4 linked regions of the Schizosaccharomyces pombe genome follow. The protein of the gene in region 4 binds, or shares a complex with, the protein of the main gene of each other region. Each region holds a gene or a part of one and is shown on either strand. Other genes may lie near its edges. The genes, in order: nup85, gle1, nup82 and seh1.

Region 1 (6,312 bases), on a different chromosome or scaffold from region 4:
TTGACACATAACTTGAAGCTTTTTCCCATCAGCATGGATTTCATAGAAACGCAGCTTATTACCAGCAGTACGAAGCCCAAGAACACGGCCGGCAACTGCAACTTCAACTTCAGGCTTAGTTTCACCACGAGCTAGTCCCTCATATTTGGCTATAAATTCAGGGAGGGTGATGGTGACCTGGAACTTGTGGGGATAAGGATTAGGATCCTTCGTTTGGCGTAATTCCATGATAGTACGAGAACGATTTTCAAAGTACTGGGAAGGGTCCAAATCTTCTTCCTTCTTTGAAGAGCTCTTAGGAGCAGCAACAGGAGCAGACGCAGCCTTTTCGGCTTGCTTTTTTGCTTTAGCTAATTCACGAGCACGTTGTTTTTCGCGCTTCTTTAACTCAGTCTTTGAGACTTGTTCACCAGTGACGGGATCAAGGACTAAAGCCTTTACAGCCTGTGTAACTCCATTCACCTGTTCCTCACTCATTTTAGCTTACAATTGCCGTTTTCAGGTTTCAGAGAAATTTTCGTGGAGGAAGAGAATATTTACCCCTTGTAGATGGTAGTTCCGTAACATAAGATAGTGTAATATAACACATTCCGTTATTTAGTTAATATTTTTTTAAAATGATTCTGTTGATATATGCTAAACGTTTGAAGATGTGAGTAATAAATGTGTAAAATTTTTTAGATTTACAACATCGGCTGGGTTCACTGATTTTGGATCCTCCCTATTATGGTATTAGACGAGACATTATAATGGGTCTTTAAGATGAACAATTGTATCTTAATAAAAACATGTATGAAGCTTCTATGTTACAGAAAGATTAAAATGTCAAGTAACAGAAATAGCCTAATTTAAATCCCCAATTGAGTAAATAACTCAATTATGTACAAGTGAGCCAAAATTTGCAGAAAAAATATATAGCATAGCTACTATAGAATTAAACCGTTTTTATTTTTTTAAGTGAAGAAAATACCATGATATCGCAGAAGAAAGACGCTCATGAATGGATAGTAAAAGCTGCTGGTCCTTTACAGTTGACTGTTGATCCTGTAAGACAGCGATACAATCATAAACATTAACAAGAGAAAGCTTAAAATCTGTCGAGTTAGACTGTAAAGGATTATTCAAAAATTCGTGAAGTAGTTCTAATAACTTAGGGAATCGACTTGAAGGGAAATCAACCATTGTTAGTAACCCAACAAGAAGTTCAGAGGCATTGAGCTCTTTTTTGTGCTGAAGGTAAAAAAAATATTGATGAATTGTAGCAGCTGGAGATATTATCGAGGCAAGGGTCGGGGTACAGGCTTTAGGAGAGCTAAACAATTCATACAACAGTTCATCTTTATCGGGACTAAATGACTTCTTTTCTGCAATACATATATCAAACAATTCCCAAGTAACGCGATTTAAAGCAGAATAGTTCGCAGCATTATCTAAAGCAATTAGTGCTTCACCATAGTGATTACGTGCAATTAATTCATCAGCCCAATGAGTCAATACTAATTGAGCTTCGTCCCTTAGTTTAAGCTGCTTGCATAATTGAAGTGCAGTTTCCTTGGCATCCACATCGGAAAGAGGGACATATGGAATACAAGCTTTTATTCGTTGATAGCCGGAATCAGCAACACATTTCCAGTAAGCAAAGGACGTTTGCCAAAGATTTCTACTTTCTAAAACACACTGCCCATATTCCAGTATAAGATGTTCACGTAAGGTAATGGGATATTCCTCGGTTATGTAATCCCGCAAATGACCGCTTTTACTCAATAAGTCTGCTAAATGCACGGCTAGTCCAAGATCTAGAAGATAGGCGTGTTTAATAGCGTTAAGAGGTTCATTACTGCATAAATTAACGCATATTTGTTCATACTCAATCGTTCCATTAACGTAAAACTTTGAGTCTTCTCCAGTTGCAAGTTGATATAATAGAGATATATCTTCAGGATTTTTACAATCCAAAGGACCATATAAAAATGCTAAAGCTGAAAAATATTCCTGCCAGTGTGCGCAACTTAACATGATGACTTCTTTATTTCCATTCAAAATATCAAGCAAAACAACAAAATCATCCAAAACTTCCGAATCAATATCCCGATGTTTCTTAACCACATGTCTGAGGTTAGCCAAGCGTGATCGCCACAGTTTCCATCGTCTTTCAAAATCGGAAACCGACCTAATTCTCTTTTGGTGCGTACAAGGGCTGTAACGTAATATATCAATAAGTTCGTCAACTGTTTCTTTAAGTACAGGCCACTCCTTCGTTAAACCGGACATCTCGAGGCATGATATAGTTTGTTCAAAAAGTCCACGAATAGCTGTTTTATTAACATAAGGCCAAAATTCAGGATGTTGGTAAGGTATACGATAAGCCATGATTTCGAGTCCATCATCGGCAATAGGCTGTGGATCATAGGCATTTACCCAATCTAAAATTCCTGTTGATAAGGTATAAGGAGAAGAAGGGGGGAAATAAATAGCTTCAGCACAGCGCCAAGCTGATTCCACTTCCCATAAAGAATCCAAAACAGGCTGACAATCTTTTTCACCCTCGTTAATACGCGACTGCAACTCCTCTAAAACTTGTATAATTTTAGAGCGGAAGAGCGAGCTTATTTTCCCATAAAACTGCGTTAACAAAAGCAAATTTGCCTCGCTGTCCAAGATAGGAGTCATATAGGTATCTTGTAATTCTTCCCATAATTCATGCCATGCGGTCAAAAGGTAATTTGGTTCAATTAGAGTAGAAGGAGTACTAAATTCATACACCAGAGATTCTACTTCTTCAAATTTATCAGACTTTAACGTATTTTCGTCAAATTCTTTGTTATTAATGTACGCTAGTCCTTTTCTCAAAAAAGGATGCAATTTGAAGGCTACCGTTCGGCCTTTTGAACGCCAGTCATTCAACTTTCCATTTTCTATAGGTGCATTTTGTAAATGATAAACAGGAAGATCCACTTCATCCGAAGATTCCATATTGGAATGTTAGTAGTTCCGAAGAAAGTAAGAAAAAAGCCTTGTAAGATTTGGATTAACCAAAATATAAAAGAATATATTTATCTGCTTTCCGATACTCAAAAAAATCAGTAAGTATTAGGAATTTGCATGTGTCCACCTGCAGGCGTTTTTCAGATGTCAAAAAGGATGGCTCTTGCTCGACCAGGAGTAATTTAGTATAAAAATTAAATCTCACTTGATTCTTGTTGGTTTTTTTTGACAACGAATAATACTAATTATCTAAGGAAGAGCAGACACTCCTTTAAAGATGCTTTAATCGTAAAGTAAGGTTGATCGAATTGGAGCCAGGCTACAATATGAAGTTTGAACTCAGATCGTCGCAACAAAAAATAGCAGTCTTCCTGACTTTCTTTAATGTTATTAGAATTAAAGGAATTAAAATAAAAATTAGAAACGAATATGCCGTTGCTTTTATCTTCGTCAAAATTCGATGCATGATCGTATTTCATGGAGGCATAAAAAAATTGATCATGTTTGCAAATTAATTTAAATTATAAATTGTAATAAATTTCGTTTCTATATAAATTTGTTATCACTTATTTTACCAGTGAATTAACCAAGATTCATGCTTACATATTCGATAAATCTTCGATGGACTAACTACACACGTAATTAACGTTTCGAACCTTGCAACTGACTCTTTTAAAGAACATTACCTGTCTGTTGGAAGGACAGTTGATAATCAAAAAGTATTTCTATAATGAAGAACTGTTTACTTAAATGATTTTAAAATTCATTGCAACCATGTCCACACTTAGACAATGATCATTTAACTTTAGCAACTTAATTATAGCCATACTTGTTTTTCGGATTATGAACGGTTTATACGCCGTAAAAGTCCGCAATTGAATTTCGTATCTTCCAGTTAAAATACAGAATTTAGGCTGTGCTGCTAACGAAGAAAAGTACTTGCAATCTAGTATGAAAATACGTTATACATTAAAAATAAGTTTCATTGAGAACTGTTGGCAATTAAGCAATTTATGTTTAATAGCAATATTTGTAAATGCAAGGGTAACTTACAGAGTTTGATGCTATATATATCATTATTGAAGGGATTCTGAAAAAATAGAACTAAACAGTCATAATTGAATCTTTGCATACCGCTTTTTTGTCAAGATATATGCCATCAAAGTACAAATTAATTAATATTATATTAAACAGAATTAGTGTCGATTTATTATCATCGATAATATGCGTTCAAAGTCAATAAAGTATCTATAACAAACAAATTAAGAATGGTCGTGTATTATTTTTCCTTTGCGGGAATTACCTTTGTTGTTAAATGTACTCAAGGAACACTAAAGGAAAGAAAGACCTAGCTCAAAAGACAGCAGGAAGGAGCAAACTGTGCGTGACGATCGCTAAAATAAAAAATTAAATTACTCCTTACCAAATTAAAACCTTTGGAACAAAACAAAGTATGATCACTTTAGATTGTCTACCTAGATGTTCTAAGGCTTTAATAAGTGAATATAATATAAAAAATTTACTTAATTGTGTTACAAACGAATGTATCACATTGCGTTTTTGCCTAGTTTGTTTACGTATTTAACGAATCACTGCAAATGATTTTAACGAGTTAAACAGAAAAAACTTTCCAAACACCAACATAAACAGTATGTTCGACTGATTTTACCCTTTTGTTATTGCTTTGGTTTAATTTATATTTTCTGTTATAACTTGCTGAATTTTTGTATATATTTTTTGAATTGGAATATTACGCTTGAGAGCTTTGGTTTATTTTTTTGGTAATTTGTGGATATCTGAGAATAAAGCCTTCTTGCATGTATACAATCGTTTTTTTGAAACATTCTTACATCATACCATCCAAGAATACCATTCAAGTATCTTTAAAAAGCCATGTCTGTACTAATTGAAACTACAGTTGGTGATTTGGTTATCGATTTATTCGTCAAGGAAGCGCCCAAAACTTGTGAGAATTTTCTTAAATTATGCAAATTAAAATACTATAATTTTTGTCCATTTTATAACATTCAGCACAATTATACCTGTCAAACAGGTGATCCTCTTGGACCAACTGGAGATGGTGGTCGATGTGTGTGGAATGTACTGAATAAAGGAACACGCTTTTTCAAAGCGGAATTTAATCCTTCTTTGGTACATAATAAAATGGGCTTGGTTAGTATGAGCACAGCAACTATATCTTCTAGAGATGACAAATTACTTGTTTGTGGTAGTCAGTTTATAATAACTTTGTCAGACAATTTAGAAGGACTTGATGAAAGATACCCAATTTATGGACAGGTTGCTGAAGGCTTTGACACGCTACTGAAAATCAATGACGCTATATGCGATGAAGAGGGTCAGCCTTATCGTGATATTCGTATAAAACACACAATTATACTAGATGACCCGTTTGAGGATCCACCCGATCTAGTGGAGCCTTTGCGGTCACCGTCTCCAACGCCTGAACAATTAGCTACGGTACGTATAGGGGAAAACGAACAAATTGAGTCAGAAACATCGGAAGATAAATTGCAAAGAGAGAAGGAAATGGAGGCAGAAGCAGAGGCTGTTACACTAGAAATGATTGGTGATTTACCCTTTGCTCATGTTGCTCCTCCCGAAAACGTTTTGTTCGTTTGCAAATTAAATCCCGTTACCCAAGATGAAGATTTAGAGTTAATATTCTCGCGATTTGGAAAAATTATCTCCTGCCAAGTTATTCGAGATAAAGAAACAGGCGATAGTCTTCAATATGCCTTTATCGAATTTGATAACAAAGAAAGTGTTGAAAAAGCTTATTTTAAAATGCAAAATGTTTTAATTGATGATTCTCGAATTCACGTAGATTTTTCCCAAAGCGTGGCTCGTTACAGACAATATTACAACTCCAATAGGGACCGAAAACGTTCTTCGTCTCGTAGTGATGATCGTGAGTACCACCGTAGGTCTGATGGTCGTTATGACAGATCTAATTACCGAGACGACTATAGGCATCGACGGAAAGAGCGTGATCATCGTGACGATCAAAGTTCATTTAGAAATGAAAGATTTTCTAACTACTACGGTGATGATCGTTCATACCATAAACGGAGAAATACTGGAAATAAAAATTGTGATGATCACTTACGAGATAAATCTCCTGAACGAAGGTATAGATATGATAGACGTTATAGAGATGATAGATATCGATAGATCTTTATTATATTCGTACCTTTCTTGTGAATATTATTTATGACTGATGAAATTACTAAAACATAGTTGAATAATTGATTAAGACTTCAAATGTATGGAATGAAATCTACATTGCTTATACTTGTAAAAGCAAAA
Region 2 (5,055 bases), on a different chromosome or scaffold from region 4:
TTCGTTGTCACTTTCATCCTCGTTATTTATAGCACCAATTTTTCCTGTAAAGTCGACGTCTTCGTTTTCATCAGCAGAATTAACATCAGAATCATCAAATGCCCCTTCATCTTCCTTAATTAGTTCTTGATTAATAAGTCCAGTTGGTTGGCGACGGGTTTTACGGCCAACATTATCAATTTCACTTGATTCTCTATCGACCGTATCAATAGCATCTGAATTGCTAAAAAGTTGTAATCCACTATTACCATCGACTCCCAGAGGCTGTTGGGCTTCTTGAAGTTGCATAACCATACGCTCTCCAAAGCCAGCTTCAGAATTTTCATCTTTAGAAAAATTTGAAGTTGGTACCTCAATGTAAACCCTATCTTTGTCAAACAAAATACCACCAATATCGGCCATAGGGCCATAGATTAATTTTTGTTTTTCTGATAGTCGCCGGCGACGGACTTTGTCGGCATCGGGAGGCGGGCAAGGATCTTCTAGGGAAGAAACATCAGACGTTACAAAATCACCAACACCAGGGATATGTACAGAGGCATCGTGCTTAGGAAGATTTGTGCCATGCAAATAACCATATAACGTGATTTTCCGCCCAACTTTCGGATTTTGTTCAATGTCAACAGGCAAAGTAAGGTCTTCCATACGATCAGCTAGTAAATAGGGATGTTGGTTGCGCCATCGCAAAGGCCTAAATTTCATGACACTTATGAATCGAGATAAATTGAGGATTTCCCTATCAGGATATCGTCCGTTCAAAACGCCGGACAAGTAGAACAATTTAGCACCTTGATAGAGTTCAGTCCAAAATCTGTGTTTCAAACGTTTTTTAGCCTCTCGCAATGTAGAAGTCTTCTTAAATAAATCGAGATGTGTTAATACACCCATGATGCGAGGCATACCATGCGGTGCTAATATGTTCAAAAACTCCATAGTTTCCATTTCGAATCCAAAATTCGCGTCAATTAAAAGGAGAACAAGGTCTGCAATCTTGGCTACGTCAATCATAGAGCTGAGATCGTTAGGACACTCCAAAAACGTGATTCTTCTCTTCTTTCCTGCAACCACCGTAATCGGCCCAGTAATCTGAGAAATAGTGTATTTAGAATATCTACGTACTAAAGATTTTATCAAAGTAGATTTTCCAGTGCCAGGAGGCCCCATAACGGCAACAATCACTGGTGGCGGAGCTTCATCCGGTGTGCGATCCACCATTGGCACGTGAAGCTTCTTTTGTGAAATATCCGCCGTACGCATAGCTTGCCTAGCCATGCGCCCTGCAGATGCTACCGCAAATGCCTATTCTTATTAGCCAATTTGATTATTTACAAAAGTTCTCAACATACCTTAGGATTGTTTGAAGCACTACCATCGGACACCTTTTTGAGCTTCTTTTTTTCAGCTTTTGGCCCAGAATGTTTTGCATAATGGCCCTTCTTCTCGTCCATGACAACTATGGAACAAGCTAGATATTTGTAAAGGCTCAAAGTTGAGTAGGTGAAAAAATCCACTTTAAGTCACATCAAGGTAACATGATATAACAAATTTTGAATAGCAGTGTCTGTAGCGAAAATGCATTTCTTGAGTCAAATTATCTTTATTTAATGCAAAAGTAAATATGGTATTAATCAGCGAAACTGACATCAAAGCCAGGATCATTTAAATCGTAATGGTTGAATTAAATTGAAACAATTATCTAGTACACATCCTAACGACTATAATTTCTACCGTAAGTATATTATAAATCAAAAGTAAATAGGTTGAAAACCCATCAAAAAAATTTAAGGCTCAAAGGAGAATTTGAGCCCTCCTTGACCCTTCATCCAGTCTTCTCCAACAATTCGAAGACGACCATACTGACTACCACCTCCGTTCGCTCCTAGATAAGCTTCACTAAAAGAACAAACAATAAGTTTTTTTGCTTGTCTTCCATATATTCGTAATAGAGATTGACCAGCAATATCAAGATACGTTGAGACGATAGAGCAAAGAGTTTGCCCTAGTTCCAAGTCCGATTTCATTAATTGTGAAGGGGATGGAAGATTCAGCAATCGAGAAAATGTTCTCCAGCTCTCGGGAGCTAAGCTATCGTCTAAAGAAAGTATAGCAGCGTAAACTGCAAAAATTCCGCACTGTCGCTCGTTGTATGTAGTATTTTGTTCCCAATGGCCATCAGATAGCTTTTTAAATCCCATTTTCTTTTTACCATTCTCCGTACCGTGATCATACCAAAACGGTATAACCCAAGGACAGTTCTTCTGTAGGCGAGCAAAAAGAAGATCTTTAAGGTCGGCGTTTTGTGTTTGTAATAAAAGGCAAACTTTTGCCAAAGGATAAGCGCTAATTGGGTTTACAGCAACTTCTGCTTCTGCTTGCTTCACCACAGATTTGCAGAAAAAATTCAAAACCCATTTATAGACCAAGGGATCCGTATTTCTGGCCTCTTGGAATGTCTGTTGCAGTAGCTGTGTAATCTTCATGATTTGAGAATTGCTTTTAGTAATTTGACCTAAACGTGGTGTAATTTTCCGTTTTTGAGTAAAGCAATAGTTTTTGAGCTCTTTTTTCTCAGAAATCGGGGCTACTACTTCAGTCTTAATCTTATGAATGATGGACCAAGCCATATTTGAGTCCTCTTCAGGATCGTCTTTAAATGTTTCCTTCATTCTCTTTTCCCGAGCTTCTTCTTCTTTCCTTTTAGCGTCAATTTGCTCCTGCTTTAATCGCCTTTGTTCATTCTCCTTGTGTTTTTGCTCTTCTATCAGCCTGATTCTTTCTTTTTCTTTTTTTTCCTTTTCCATCAATTCTTTTTTTCTTCTCTCCTCTTCATCTTTCAGTCTTTGGCGTTCTGCTTCGATACGCTTTTTTTCCAACAATTCACGATTAAATCGTTCCTGTTCTAACCTTTGTTTCTCTGAAAAAATTCTTTGAGATTCAGTTATACTTTGTTCAATTAAATTTTGCTCTTCAACATTCCTCTTCTTTGCCCAATCTATCGTTTTATGCAACGGTGGGAAAATACGCACATTTTCATCGGCAATTACAGGAAATGGAGATTGTTTTTTAGGCTTATACCTTTGTGATATCTAAGAACATTATTAATAAAAATAATATTAATAGAAAATCGAATACTTACTATGTGAATCATTCGCCGTGTTTTTTCATTATATATATCCCATAAATCATCAATGTCAAGACCGTTAGCATCGTTATAACTAGATATTATTTTTTCATCGAGTTTAGCATGGATTAAAGGTGTTGTTTTTGTATCCATAACTGAAATTTCCTGAAATTGAGGAAATTGGTAAAAGGACGATTTGGAATGGACATTCACTATGCGAAACTCAAATTGATCGAAACTTGATGCTTGCTTTAATTAACATTACAAGTGTCAAAACTATAAAAGTCTTAGGTTATTAGATTGTATTAGGCGGTTTAAATTATAATTAAAAAAACAGAACAAGCAATCATCCAAACTATGAGACATAAGTATATATTAACATAAACAAGTATCATTAATTAAAAATCAAAGTATAACTAGCCCAATGAAGTTGCAAAAAAATACAATAAGTAAGAATGCAATATAAACAATTGCAGGCAAAGCGAGAGATTTGACTTCGTCTATAGCTAAAATGGATTAACTGATATTGGAGGACTTCCTCTAGGTCATTAAAATAAATCAAGTAAAGAAATAATCTGTATCAAGGAATTGAATAGAATACGCTATCTTGAATGCATGAACATACGGTAATGACCAAACACGTGAAGAGCAACTCACGTATAACGATACTAACACACGATTCCGAAAATGTTTTGTAAGATTTCTTCTTATCGAATTTAAATTATAAAGATTTGCATTTTGGGACCTGAATGAGGAAAACATAGCAAAAGATTTCTAGCCCATTATTAAAGCTGTTAATATTACCCCCAGTATAACAACTAGAATTACAAGAAAGCAAAAGCTTCTTTTTCTAGCCTTTCTTGAATGCTCGTTGGCAATCTGCAACTGCCTTGAAGCATTTTTCGTGTTTGTCGATGTGTTTCCGACGTTGTATTCAATGTTGGTAACTAGTTCACCCTGTTCATTAATAATGGTGCTTAGATCGCCTAAAAAGAAAATTGTTAGTAAAACTTTAAATTTATAAAAGCGAAAATATTTTAGGTCAAGTATTTAGCATTACTCCTAACTCCATCACGTAAACAGAAAAAAAAAAAATGTCAACTAGCTGATACTTACGAAAGATTTCATTGAGTTCATTTATTCCTTGAGTCAAATTTTCGATTTCACCTTGTCGTTCATTAATAAGCCTTTGCTGATATTCTAGTTGGGAATTTGAAATCTTTGACTCAGTCAACGGCTGTCGTTGACCAGAAGAATTATTTGATAGAGACACATTACGCTCTTCCTCTTCAATAAAATGTTGTCCGACGTCTTGATTAAGTGCAGCTTGTGCTGCGGCTACAGAATCAGACTCTTGTTGAGCGCATTTCTGTTGTACTCTTTGAAGCTCAGCCAATACCGTATTAAAATCTCGGGTAAGCTTTGATAAGGCGAAGGACGACGCTTCTTCTCCATATTTTGTATCTTTGATGTTGGCAAGCCTTACCAAGTCTGAACGAACCTTTTGAGATAGTTCACGGGATTGCTCTAAAACCTCATGTAAGTTTTTCGTAAGGTTGTTTACCAAATATCTATGAATTGCTGCTGTGTTTCCTCGTAGAGCATGAATTTCCTGAGCAATACTGCTCGCTAAGGCTGGAAAGTCACCATTTTGCTCGATCTTATGTCTTCCTTGCTCCAAGTCAACAAAAGACATTATAGCAACAAAAAAATTGAATCAAAGCAATCCAACAGTATTTGCAAAGGTACTAAGAAAGTCAATATAATTAAAAAATTGGCCAATTAGCTTGAATTGAGTCTGAAAACAAAGATTCAAAGTTTTTCAGCAATAATTAGTCACCTTGCTAAGGTTACAATTCTTTTGTTCGTAGAAACCTTGACAATTGTCAAGTGTTTTAGTAGTTGGAAGAAGAATGCAAATCTTATGAGCAAGG
Region 3 (6,132 bases), on a different chromosome or scaffold from region 4:
AAAGTACAAAACCTAGCAAAAATTAGTAAACAATTCAAAGACGTTTAATCCACTAACCTATGATGTACAACATAAAGGATATAAACCTATGGTGTAAAACCAATGGAAGCATAAAAGAATCCATAATAAAAAGATGGTGAAAGTAAGCATAGATACTTTCACCATAAGCGTAATACAAGGTTGTCATTAGAAAATACCTAAAAAAAGTTAAAAAACTGCCTTAAAAAACAAAAAGGTAATAAATTTGACGCTAAAAAGAGAAAAACGATTTTGGCTTTTCATTTTCTATTATTTTTTTTTAAAATACTCTACTGATCGCGAACACCAACATCACAGTTAAACACTTTAGAAAAGCTAGTGAACAGTATCATCTCACATACCAGTTAATAAACCTTGTCCACGGAAGATCCTTTTCTCTACTGGGAACGCTTGCAATAGCTATCACCTCTTTGTACACACCAATCTGAACTATAGTGACCAGCAGAACAACCCAAAAGTGACCCATTGCCAAAGCAGTGAAAAATATACCGAGCAACAAAAAGGTCCATATAGTACGCGTAATAAAATTTTGACTTGGCTTTCTAGCCAAAGATTTATGTTTAGTAAGCCTCGCTGGCTCGGTAGTCTTGGAAGACGCGCTGTCCTTATTTTGGACAACCCCAACATTTCCATTTTCTTTATCCGAATTATTTCTTTTATTAGTTCTCTTCCGCGCCATACTTTAAAACTTCCCTATCTTTGGAAAAACGCTTATAATTTTGTGGAAAAGATTTGATGGGTTTGAAGAGTGAGATGTTAGTGGGTCAAGTTCTTGTTTCTTTTTACGAAAGTTAGTAATAATCTGTATAAATCGCACTATATGAAATATATGTCAATAAAATCTCACTACACTATAGTACGTTATGTTACTAACCATTATATGTTCTAAGCTTTAGAGACTTGCCTCGTGGGTACAATACTCTCGAATGAGTAAAAAATTCGCTCCTTAATGTAAGACTTTAAAAAAAAAAGCATAACTGCTGTTTGTTTAAATTATTAAAACAATAACCAAGACAATTGCATTTCTAAAAGATTTCATTATTATATTAAGTTCAAATTTTAAAAATCAGAGCTTAGGAAATATAAAATATCGACCATTAATATTAATGAATTTTTAAATGGGCCAGAGTAAATATAATAATATCCGCCAAAATTCCGATTATAAAATCTATTATCAAAGGTAAAAAGAGAAGAAAACTTCTGGTAAAAAAACTTACGCTTAGTTTAACACTATAATAGCTTTTTTTGTTTAGCTGACTAATTTTTTTCAAGATGTTTGTAATAATCTTTGAAAAGAGACAGTCTTAGTTTTGAGTTCCTTAATAGATAAGCTTTGTTGCGCCAACAGCTTTTGAAGTTGTTCAATAGCAGCAAGGCGCATATCCGAAGAAGATGCGACTAGCGTTGTTTGTGCATCTCTCGGTTTGGTACGCTGCAAGAGAGTTTTTAGAGTTTCAACTCGTTTCTCAATACCACGCTCGCCTGTAACTTTTTCTTTATAATTTCCAATTTCTTTAATAAATTGCTTTTCCTTATCAGAAAGATCAGGGACACGCAAGTCCATAACACGTTGTAAAACCTGATCAATCCTCTTTTCACACATTGACATATCAGAAGTTAAGTGCTCTAGATGCTCAGTAGACCATGCTTTTTCTCTAAAGTTACTAATCCTGTCTGAAAGTTTGTAAATGTGGTTCTGCTGTCGCTCATATTCCTCCCTTTGAAGCTTTAAACGGTGATGCAGCTCGCTACAGCCATGATCTAACAAATTCAGCGTTTCCCTATAACGAGCAACAACTTTTCCTAAAAAGCGTAAGGAAGCGGATGACACTGTAATTTCATTTTGCAGTTCAGCAGGTACAATTGTTCTTTCAACCAAACTTGGGATTGAAGGATCTGTAAAGGGAGTTTTTTCTAATAATGAAACATATAAAGGTGTATACGTCAACTTTTCATCTAAGTCATCAACTTGCTCAAGAGAAGAAGTACCAAGTGATTTTGAGTAATCCATTTCATTCGATAAAGATTCCTTGTTGACACCCATTGTGGCCAAATCAGAATCATCAAATACAGTAGTTTGCCAATTCCTAGTAAGTGATATAAGGATTTTACCTAGAGAGGGATAATACAATTGGGCGCAACCGACAACAGCGTCAGTGCTTTCGTTCAGAGGATTTGTGTCCAATCTTTCCAAAACAGAAGTACGAGAAGGAATAGAAACCAACACATTTGAAAGTTCATCCTCATCATTCTCTTCCTCGTTGTTCAAAAATTCACTGTTTTCGAAATTAAGATTTAGATCTCTAGCCCAAGATTCAATATCAACTACATGTAAGCCGTTGGCATGATATGCGATTAAAGAATACGGAGACTGAATATCTGGTTGTAATACCATATAAGGGTTATTGTTAGAAAGATACAGTGAATGAACTTGTGAAACAATAAGTTTCATAGATGCTAAACCATGATCATTAAGTTTAGACCATCGTCCGCTAACTTCTGACACTAAGAGCAAAAGATCAAGGCGACCCTCGGAACCACCAATGGCGAGTACGTCAATTGGGTTCATACCAAAAGAATAAATATCACAATAGTCTTCAATAAGCTCATCATCAGCTACAGCTGGTTGTAGAAGAAAGGGTCCTTGCATAGAAGGTATAAATGAAAAATCATCTGGTCTACGAACAGATACATAATCAGATGAATCAAAAAGTTCAGAGCTACCTTCGGATATAACAAATGAGGTACTTAAATCGTTTGCAAGTGCTGCTTCGCCTAATAGTTTAGTAATCCAATGAACATTTCTACGATGATTTTCCGCATCAGCATCGTCCTCTTTTTTAGTTAAAATTAATCTAATTTGTTTCAAAACGTCTTGGGGTATCATTGCATTTGCTGGCATTACCGGGCAAACGCTAAAAACATCTCCTCCTCGGGTCAGAATATAAATTGTAAATACCCCCCACCCTTGAGAAACATTGCTAAAGCAAAAAGCGGTCGGTATATGCAAATCTACATCGGCATCAAATGAATTGGAAGCCTGATGCGTCAATTTAAGAGGAATCTCATAATCGGGCATTAACACTCCATTTCCAGCCTCATAAAGCAAGAGTGAAGTTTCAGTTAATACAACCAAAGATCTTCCGGACTTCCCCAGTGGGTGAAATCGAACGGAGACAATTTGAGAAGAAGGATTAATAACTGCAACCGAACAAATGGTAACCTCCGATAATTTTAATGAGTTAGTCCCGTTTTCCTGGTGTTCTGAATTTGAAAAATTGTTAACAGATTCACCAAAGTTTGAAACGGACTCTGCAAGTGGATTTTGTTCAGATAACTTTGATCTCAAACCCAGTATAACAATTTTTGATTTTCCTACCACTGCTAGAAATCGGCCATTTTTACTAAGGCAAATCTGTTCAATCATAAAGTCTAATTCTGGATTAAAAAGTTTTTTGTAAAAATTCTTATGAGATGCTTCATTTTTATGTTTTAAGAGTCGACAATCCAAGCTTCTGACTTCTTGCCCCACAGCAACGTACAGAAACGACTCAAACGCGCAAAGATGCTTGGGAAAAATTTCCCAATCCTCAGGAATAGGTTTAATCCATCGTAGGGCAGGATGCTTTTCCAAAATGTCTGTCCATGATACCTCTTGAGACATGATGGTTGATGCCATTTTGTTAGTCTTCTGCGAGTATTAAATAAGGAGGAAGAATGCGTCGCTAAATAAATGTAAAAAGTAATACATGTGTACTTTGAATATTAGAATATACCATAATTATTTGTACCTAGCTTGTTATAGGTAAATTAAAAGAACCAGATCTTTGGAGCCTTTTCCTCTTTCTAGCGAAATGCAGCATATGGTGTAATAGTGCTTGAATGCTACTTCTTTTAAAAACATTTAAATGATTTTAGTTTGCGAATAACAGGTATACAAATTCTATACATCAATTACATTATAAGCATTAAGTTTCCTAATATTTAACAGTTTTACTTCATTTAAGATAAAGCAATAAGTTAGCTAGCATAGTTCATTCAAAAAAGCGATTTCCTTAATTCAAATTCTCTTAAAGAACAAATGTAATTTTAAAACCAATTATTATAAGGGTTGGAATTAGCTACATTTACACGATGATTTTTTTACTTTGTAAATGCATAGTACACTATAAAGTTAGACTTCAACCTACAACCACTGCCTAGGAAAAATGGCATCAATAACAAGGTTAGATGCTGTTTCTCCGTATCTCATACGGAGGTTTAAAAACGATTTACGTGCTTTAGATGCTGTGAAACAAAGTAACTGTGTTTATGTTGGCAACCTTTCATTCTATACCACCGAGGAGCAAATTTATGCTTTATTTTCCAAATGTGGTGAGATTCGACGAATTATCATGGGCGTAGATAGATTTACAAAGGTAAGTTTTCATAAAATTCTGTTTATTTGCTCTTCAAGTTCATTACTTTCAAAGTTGTCTTGGAATGCAATCATAGATGCCCGACTTGTACTAATCAAATATTACCAGACACCATGTGGGTTTTGTTTTGTTGAATATTTTGAAAATCAAGATGCTTTAGATAGCTTAAAATACATTTCAAGAACATCATTGGATGAAAGAATTATTCGTGCAGATTTGGATCATGGTTACGAAGAAGGTCGTCAATATGGCAGAGGTGCATCCGGAGGCCAAGTCAGAGATGAAATGCGGGAAGAATTTGATCCTGGACGTGGTGGTATGTAGTCGGATTCTAAAAGAAGCGATATTTAATCAATACAGTCTCTGCAAACTTAATAACATACTAACTTGACTTTAGGATATGCAAAAAATAGGCAACCAACCAGCTCTAGACAGCTTGCAAACTATTCTGGAATTTCTTCTGCTCCTTTAGGATCTTCTCTAGAACTTCAAAGTAATCCAAGATACAATCGTTGGAAAAAAAATTAAAAAGTTAGTTATATAATTCGGACTTTAACGAGGTATTGGAAGATTCACAGGCACTTCTTACTATTTATTCCGGAATTTTTAGAGTTGGTCCATTTTAAAATGCTTTACAAAGAAATCTGTAAGACCAGCTTGCGATATATTTTTTTGGCATAAGACTTATTTCATTATACAAACCAATATTCAAGTTACAAATGATTTAATTAAACTATGCAGTATCTATTTTTTACCGGGATATATTAGTTTAATCATATCTTCATTCGACCTGAATTTTTCACTGAGAGACTCATGCCTAAGACCTCTTTCAATTTCTGCATTTCGAATTACCTTCCAATCTTTCCAGTGAATTACAGGTGTTTTAATGTTCTTTTTTAAGCCATCCCATCCTAGCTTACTATTTTTGAGAAATTCCTTTTTGGATTTCCAATCCTTAGTTATTGTATCCGCTGTAGCAAATGCATCCATCATGGTCGTAGCAATGACTCCAATTGGCCCATGTTTCACCCATCCACTAGTGTAAATGCCAGGACGAACAAATCCGTTAACATTTTTTACAATTCCTTTTGCATCGTCGAATGGAACGCCAACGTCTTTCATTCCAGGCAAGGGCATACTTTTATACCCTATACTTCGGATAAACAACTGTGCGGGTATGGTTGTAAATTTTGACTCAGCATCTGTTCTTATGCTATCTGTAATCTGAAAGCGAACATTTTCAACATTTCCCTTATGTCCTAGAATCTCAACAGGTGTTAAGCCAAATTCCAAATTCCAACATTTCTTGTCTTTTGAATAAGGGGCTACTCGTTTCTCTGAAACAGCTTTCTGGATTTCGGAAACTAATAGCTTTAACAATCTCTTTCTAGGTCTATCCAAACCGCTTGCATCTGTTTCATTCATCCACTTTGTAGAATAATTAAAGGAAGGAGCAAAGAAAACTGCACTTGATAGGGCAAACAGTTCTCTCAATTCTTTGATAGTAAACGAGACAGAAAATATGTTTCTTCTTCCTACAATGTGTAATCTTTTTAAATTGCTTCTTTCAAGTGATTTGAGGAACAATGGATTAATGTCAGTTGGGGATAATTGAGCAGGATTACTTAAAAGGATTCGAGCTACATCAAGTGAAACATTACCATGTCCAATAACT
Region 4 (4,676 bases):
TAAGATAAAAATTTGTATGATTTATTGCTAATACTCTGCAGACTATAATGCTTTGGCGACCCAGTTCACTCAATTTTACTACCAAACTTTCGATTCCGATCGTTCTCAACTTTCTTCACTATACGTATGCGACTTCTAATTATGAAATTAATCCTACGTGTATTTATCTGGGCAGCTAACTTATATATATTAGAGAGAAGAGTCGATGCTGAGTTTTGAGGGAGCCCAACTCCAAGGAACTAAAGCCATTGTGGAAAAACTTGTTGTATGATAATAACTGAAACGTCTTCCTTTTTTTTATTAACTGTTTGGTATAGAGCCTGCCTTTTCAACGCGTTCAACACCGCATCTCAACTTTGGATGCTCAACCTACTGGTACTACTGGATCCGTAATCGTTATGGTTACAGGTGAGCTTTTGGTAAGTTATAAGATTGATGTTACTTATTCTATTCATTTTTTTTTTTTTTGCTTTGCTCTTTTTTTAACCTTTTTGTAGTTGGATGAAGAGCAAATGGCCCAGCGCTATAGCCAAGTTTTTCACCTTGTTAACAATAATGGTAACTACTATGTCTTAAATGACCTGTTTCGTTTGAACTATGGTTGAAGAATATCATAGTGAAAATATTTAATACAAGTATCTTGATTATCTGCAATTTCATTTTCTTTTTTTTTATGCTTTTGTAGCGATTACCGGATTTTCAAACTACAACCTGTAGCAGATATAGCTTTTTGAACCCATCGCTTGTTTAGTTCGTTAAAACAAATTTTCGAATTGAACTCTACCTAAAAGTTTACATTAAGACTTAGTCTAATTTCGAAGTTTTACGCTAAATGAAAATTTAATCTCAAAGCGAATGTTAGTTCACTTGTCTAAAATTATAAATTAAAACCAAAAATTTATAAAGTAATATCTCCTTTTTTACAATTTGGTTATGATCTAGCTGGTAAATATGAAATAATTTAAGAAAGGAAACCAAGCAAGGTCGGCCATTCAATGTATCTGTTACATTAAAATTGAACTAAGTAAATCACAATTTTTCAGGTTTTCTGTCACAAGTTAGTATCATATATTCATGAGGCCGAAAGCATCTCTGAACTTACTTTTCTAAAGAAACGACAGATATGCATTTAAATAAATTTGCATAGGACGCTTTCCATAAACGAACGCACCCATCATCGCCCGAGCTGCTCAAAATAGTTCCTGTCACATTAAAACGGCATCTCCACACTTGACATTTATGGTTATCATATTCACCAATGAGTTCCACCTTCAAAGAATTTAGATTGAAATTTGAGTCTTCTGTCATTGAATTTCCAGCATCTTCTTCCTCTTGAAATACTTCTTCGCAAAGGGTTTCAACTTTAAAAATACGAACATTCCCATCTTTGCATGCAGTAGCTATCAGGTAATAACTACTGCCCATACTCGGAGCCCAGCAAATATCACGAATAAGATCTGTATGTCCGGGTAACTCAGCAACTTTTTTCCATTTTCCATGAGAGTTCTGCTTGTAAATGTAAGCATCATTCATGCATCCAACAGCAATGTACTGTTCTCGCCAACGTGATGGGCACCAATTTACACAAAACGCTGGTTGCTCGTTGCGCGAAGGAGGGGACGGCATTAAAGCAATTTCATTCATTAAAGTCCAATACGTTAAATTACCGGGTTCCATGGCCTCATAAATCCGTAAAGTAGCATCCGCCGAAACTGCTGCTAATTTGCAACCATGTTGAAAAGGGCAAAATGATATGTCTAATACGGCGCTACGAGCATCCATTAATTTTGCAACTTCAACCCATGTCTTGGATTCAAAGTTCTTTTTTTGTTCCTCATAGATCCGAACCCCTCTGTCTAAACTGCAGACAGCTAGCACTTGACCAAATGAAGGATGAGCCCAAGCAACCCTCATTAGACTAGCATCTCCTGCCCTCCATTCAGAAGTGATTGCCCATGTTTCAGTATCATCATTAAAATCGTAAACCTTGACTCGTTGATCAGCTGAACATGATACCATTCGACGGCCATAAAAGTCTTGACAATTAGCTACAAAATCTAAAATAATATTTCCTTACCGTATGTAACATCATTCACTAAATCTTGGTGATTTGTTTGAATCGTAGTAGCCGAAATATCATCCATGTTGGTAGAGACGAGGTGAGCTAGTAAAGAAGGGCCAAAAGATTTTATATGTAAATTATCGGTATCAGCGCAAAAAAAAAGAGGGTAAGTCTAGAAAAAATGAAAGAAGTAAATTTTTTGTAAAGAAGACTTTTCGCATGCTTAACTTTCGGTCCGACAAGTTAACTCATCGAAGGCGACAATCATAGTAAAGAATATACAAAACGACTAAAATAGTCAGCAAATATCTACTGCACATAATCTTCACTCAGTTCATTCTTAATAGATGGTAATAACAAATTTGTATACCACATTGACGTTATTTCACCTGAAGTGATTTGGTAAGCCAAAACGATAATAATCTAATATGTTCATTGACGTTTAAAAAATGAAATGAAAGTTTCAAGTACTATACAAATAGTCTTCCGGACTACTAAATTATTTAGTTGTTAGTGGTATGTATACCTCAGTCAATAGTTAGTTATTAATTACCTTCATTTACAAATATGAAATTATGTGCTTTTTTTAATGGTTTCAGTATAGTTAAAAGTATTATTGATATTTTGTTTAAGGTACAAAATCTTTTGATAAAATTATTGATTTAATTAATGCAAAACTGAAGTAGGTAATTTGAAAATATTAGTCCCCCATTAAAAAATATGCATATATAATGTTAATACTTTTTTTGTAAAATAAGAACTTCACAATAAAATGCTGAGGAGCCGTAATCAAAATTAGCAAAAAAATTCATAAAAACATTTTATTTGATTTTGCAAAGAGACAAACGATAGTAGTAACATTGATATCATTAAAGTGTTGGTTTTTTGAATTTATAAGCTTGTCTATTTATTAAATGCAGTCAGTGTTTAACAAAATAGTGACACTACCAGTCAATTCTTTTCAGTTTTGTATTTGCAGATTATCACAGATTTCAAAATGACTTTTGTGACCCATAATATGTTCTTGTCTCATGTGTGTTATTATACTACAATACTTCAGGACTTAATAGGCAAGTCATGTACAAGTAATAATGATTGTAATTGCACGTCAGTGCCACAAGTATAGTATATCTTTTAAATGGGAAATTTTTCAATTTTTTTTATTTTTTATACACTGAATGTCAATTGGCAATGCCATTTTGACTCTACGGAATTTTGATTATATTGAGTATTGTAAAACGACCCTTTTCTAAAAATAAAAAACAAAGCCTATCCCTTACTCGCTAATCTGAGTTAGTTCGATCAAGGCCAGAAATGGAACAAATCAGGCCGTTCTCGGATAACTACTTGGATCGTCTACGTACAGTTGAAGAGGATGATTATAATGACTGGGAGGGTTCATCTGATACAAAAACGTTATACTCAAGCGTATCAGACAGCAAAATAGGGCATAAAAAAAGTTTTCATAAGGATGGCAAAGGCTTATTTAAGACATTGCGAAATTTTTTGAGTTTGAAAACTAATAAGGTACCTAAAAACAGAAAGTTTTCATTACTAAAGGGTTCTAAATGTAACAATGTGGAAATTAAGGTGTTTATAAGGAATAATGATAAACAATCAAACGGTGCGTCAAAAATAGGATAATGACACTTTGTTTTCTTAAATTTTAACAGCTGTAGTTCATAATTTTAAAGGAAAAGATTCAATTCATGAAGCATGGAGCCAATATTTAATTTTTGATAGCATGGGCTTGAGTCCCCTTATACACATATCTGGAGAAGATAAATACAAAGTTCTTTGCTTATTTAGTATATGGAGAAGAAAACTTGGCAAATGCTCAATTTTTACTGTCCATGACCCCGATATCCAAAAGAAAATAAAAAGCATACTGTCATACTTATGGGAACTTAGTAATACAAATGACCCTCCTCATGTTATCGTGTGGCATACCGCAAAAGGCACTAATGTCATGACAATGGGACCTTTGGGACTAAAAGATGAAGATCTTTGGAATTATGCCAACGAAAGATCCAACCTTAATGGTACTACTTGACACCACTGCAATGCCTTTTAGAGAAGATACCGTGTATTTATTTTTATTTAATCTTTGTACTTATCGAGTAATGTGATATGATCGCAGAGCATCACCGTTACCCAAACCGACTACGAAATATTAAACTATTTTTTTTTGGGGAAACTTCATTACTAAGCTATTTGTAAACGAAAAAATATGTGCTGCTACTTCACGTTTGAACAGGATATTTATAATCGTTAACTACTTTTAGATAATGTTGAAAATTATTCCTCTAAGTATGAGTCCAAATTACGTGTTATGTAAAACAAAAAAAAAAAACAATTTATGGACAATATTCGGTTTTCAAAGAGAAATAGTAATTAATGTGTTTTCTGTATATTATGGAGATGTGATTAATACCGATGACCTGTAGCAATTGTTAAATTGCTGAAGGACTAGTAAACAAATAAAAATATATGTATTTCATTAAAACCGCGTTTTGCTAGCATAATTCAAGTAACATTGTCACTTTCACAGTTTATTTACCTCATTACGTCATGAATGTTTTGGCCAAGACGGAATTCGAACTCACACGATTGT

The links.
Region 1: seh1 (region 4) and nup85 share a complex: the UniProt entries of both Schizosaccharomyces pombe proteins name them as parts of the nuclear pore complex.
Region 2: seh1 (region 4) and gle1 share a complex: the UniProt entries of both Schizosaccharomyces pombe proteins name them as parts of the nuclear pore complex.
Region 3: seh1 (region 4) and nup82 share a complex: the UniProt entries of both Schizosaccharomyces pombe proteins name them as parts of the nuclear pore complex.

What each region holds. Positions count from the first base shown.
Region 1 is NC_003423.3:2,173,156-2,179,467, forward strand, and holds nup85 (nucleoporin Nup85), read right to left. Parts: upstream 3,276-6,312; 5' UTR 2,974-3,275; coding exon 946-2,973; 3' UTR 501-945; downstream 1-500. Other genes in the region: lysine--tRNA (Lys) ligase Krs1, read right to left, coding at 1-477; RRM-containing cyclophilin Rct1, read left to right, coding at 4,879-6,177. UniProt on the Schizosaccharomyces pombe protein: Functions as a component of the nuclear pore complex (NPC).
Region 2 is NC_003423.3:245,480-250,534, reverse strand, and holds gle1 (nucleoporin Gle1), read right to left. Parts: upstream 3,307-5,055; 5' UTR 3,275-3,306; coding exon 3,137-3,274; exon of another isoform or gene 3,087-3,136; coding exon 1,782-3,086; 3' UTR 1,558-1,781; downstream 1-1,557. Other genes in the region: GTP-binding protein Bms1, read right to left, coding at 1-1,299, 1,347-1,448; SNARE Pep12, read right to left, coding at 3,896-4,107, 4,238-4,817. UniProt on the Schizosaccharomyces pombe protein: Functions as a component of the nuclear pore complex (NPC).
Region 3 is NC_003423.3:3,398,189-3,404,320, reverse strand, and holds nup82 (nucleoporin, WD repeat Nup82), read right to left. Parts: upstream 3,704-6,132; coding exon 1,307-3,703; 3' UTR 1,012-1,306; downstream 1-1,011. Other genes in the region: bbl1 (phosphatidate cytidylyltransferase), read right to left, coding at 1-12, 58-197, 381-718; cbc2 (nuclear cap-binding complex large subunit), read left to right, coding at 4,248-4,457, 4,566-4,773, 4,855-4,985; mitochondrial [2Fe-2S] cluster assembly NADPH-ferredoxin reductase Arh1, read right to left, coding at 5,202-6,132. UniProt on the Schizosaccharomyces pombe protein: Functions as a component of the nuclear pore complex (NPC).
Region 4 is NC_003424.3:2,396,889-2,401,564, reverse strand, and holds seh1 (GATOR2-SEACAT complex WD repeat subunit Seh1), read right to left. Parts: upstream 2,157-4,676; 5' UTR 2,145-2,156; coding exon 2,078-2,144; exon of another isoform or gene 2,037-2,077; coding exon 1,103-2,036; intron 1,049-1,102; coding exon 1,030-1,048; 3' UTR 846-1,029; downstream 1-845. Other genes in the region: nuclear import protein Nxt2, read left to right, coding at 42-124, 194-265, 318-419, 498-605; glm1 (glomulin), read left to right, coding at 3,377-3,686, 3,742-4,115. UniProt on the Schizosaccharomyces pombe protein: Functions as a component of the nuclear pore complex (NPC).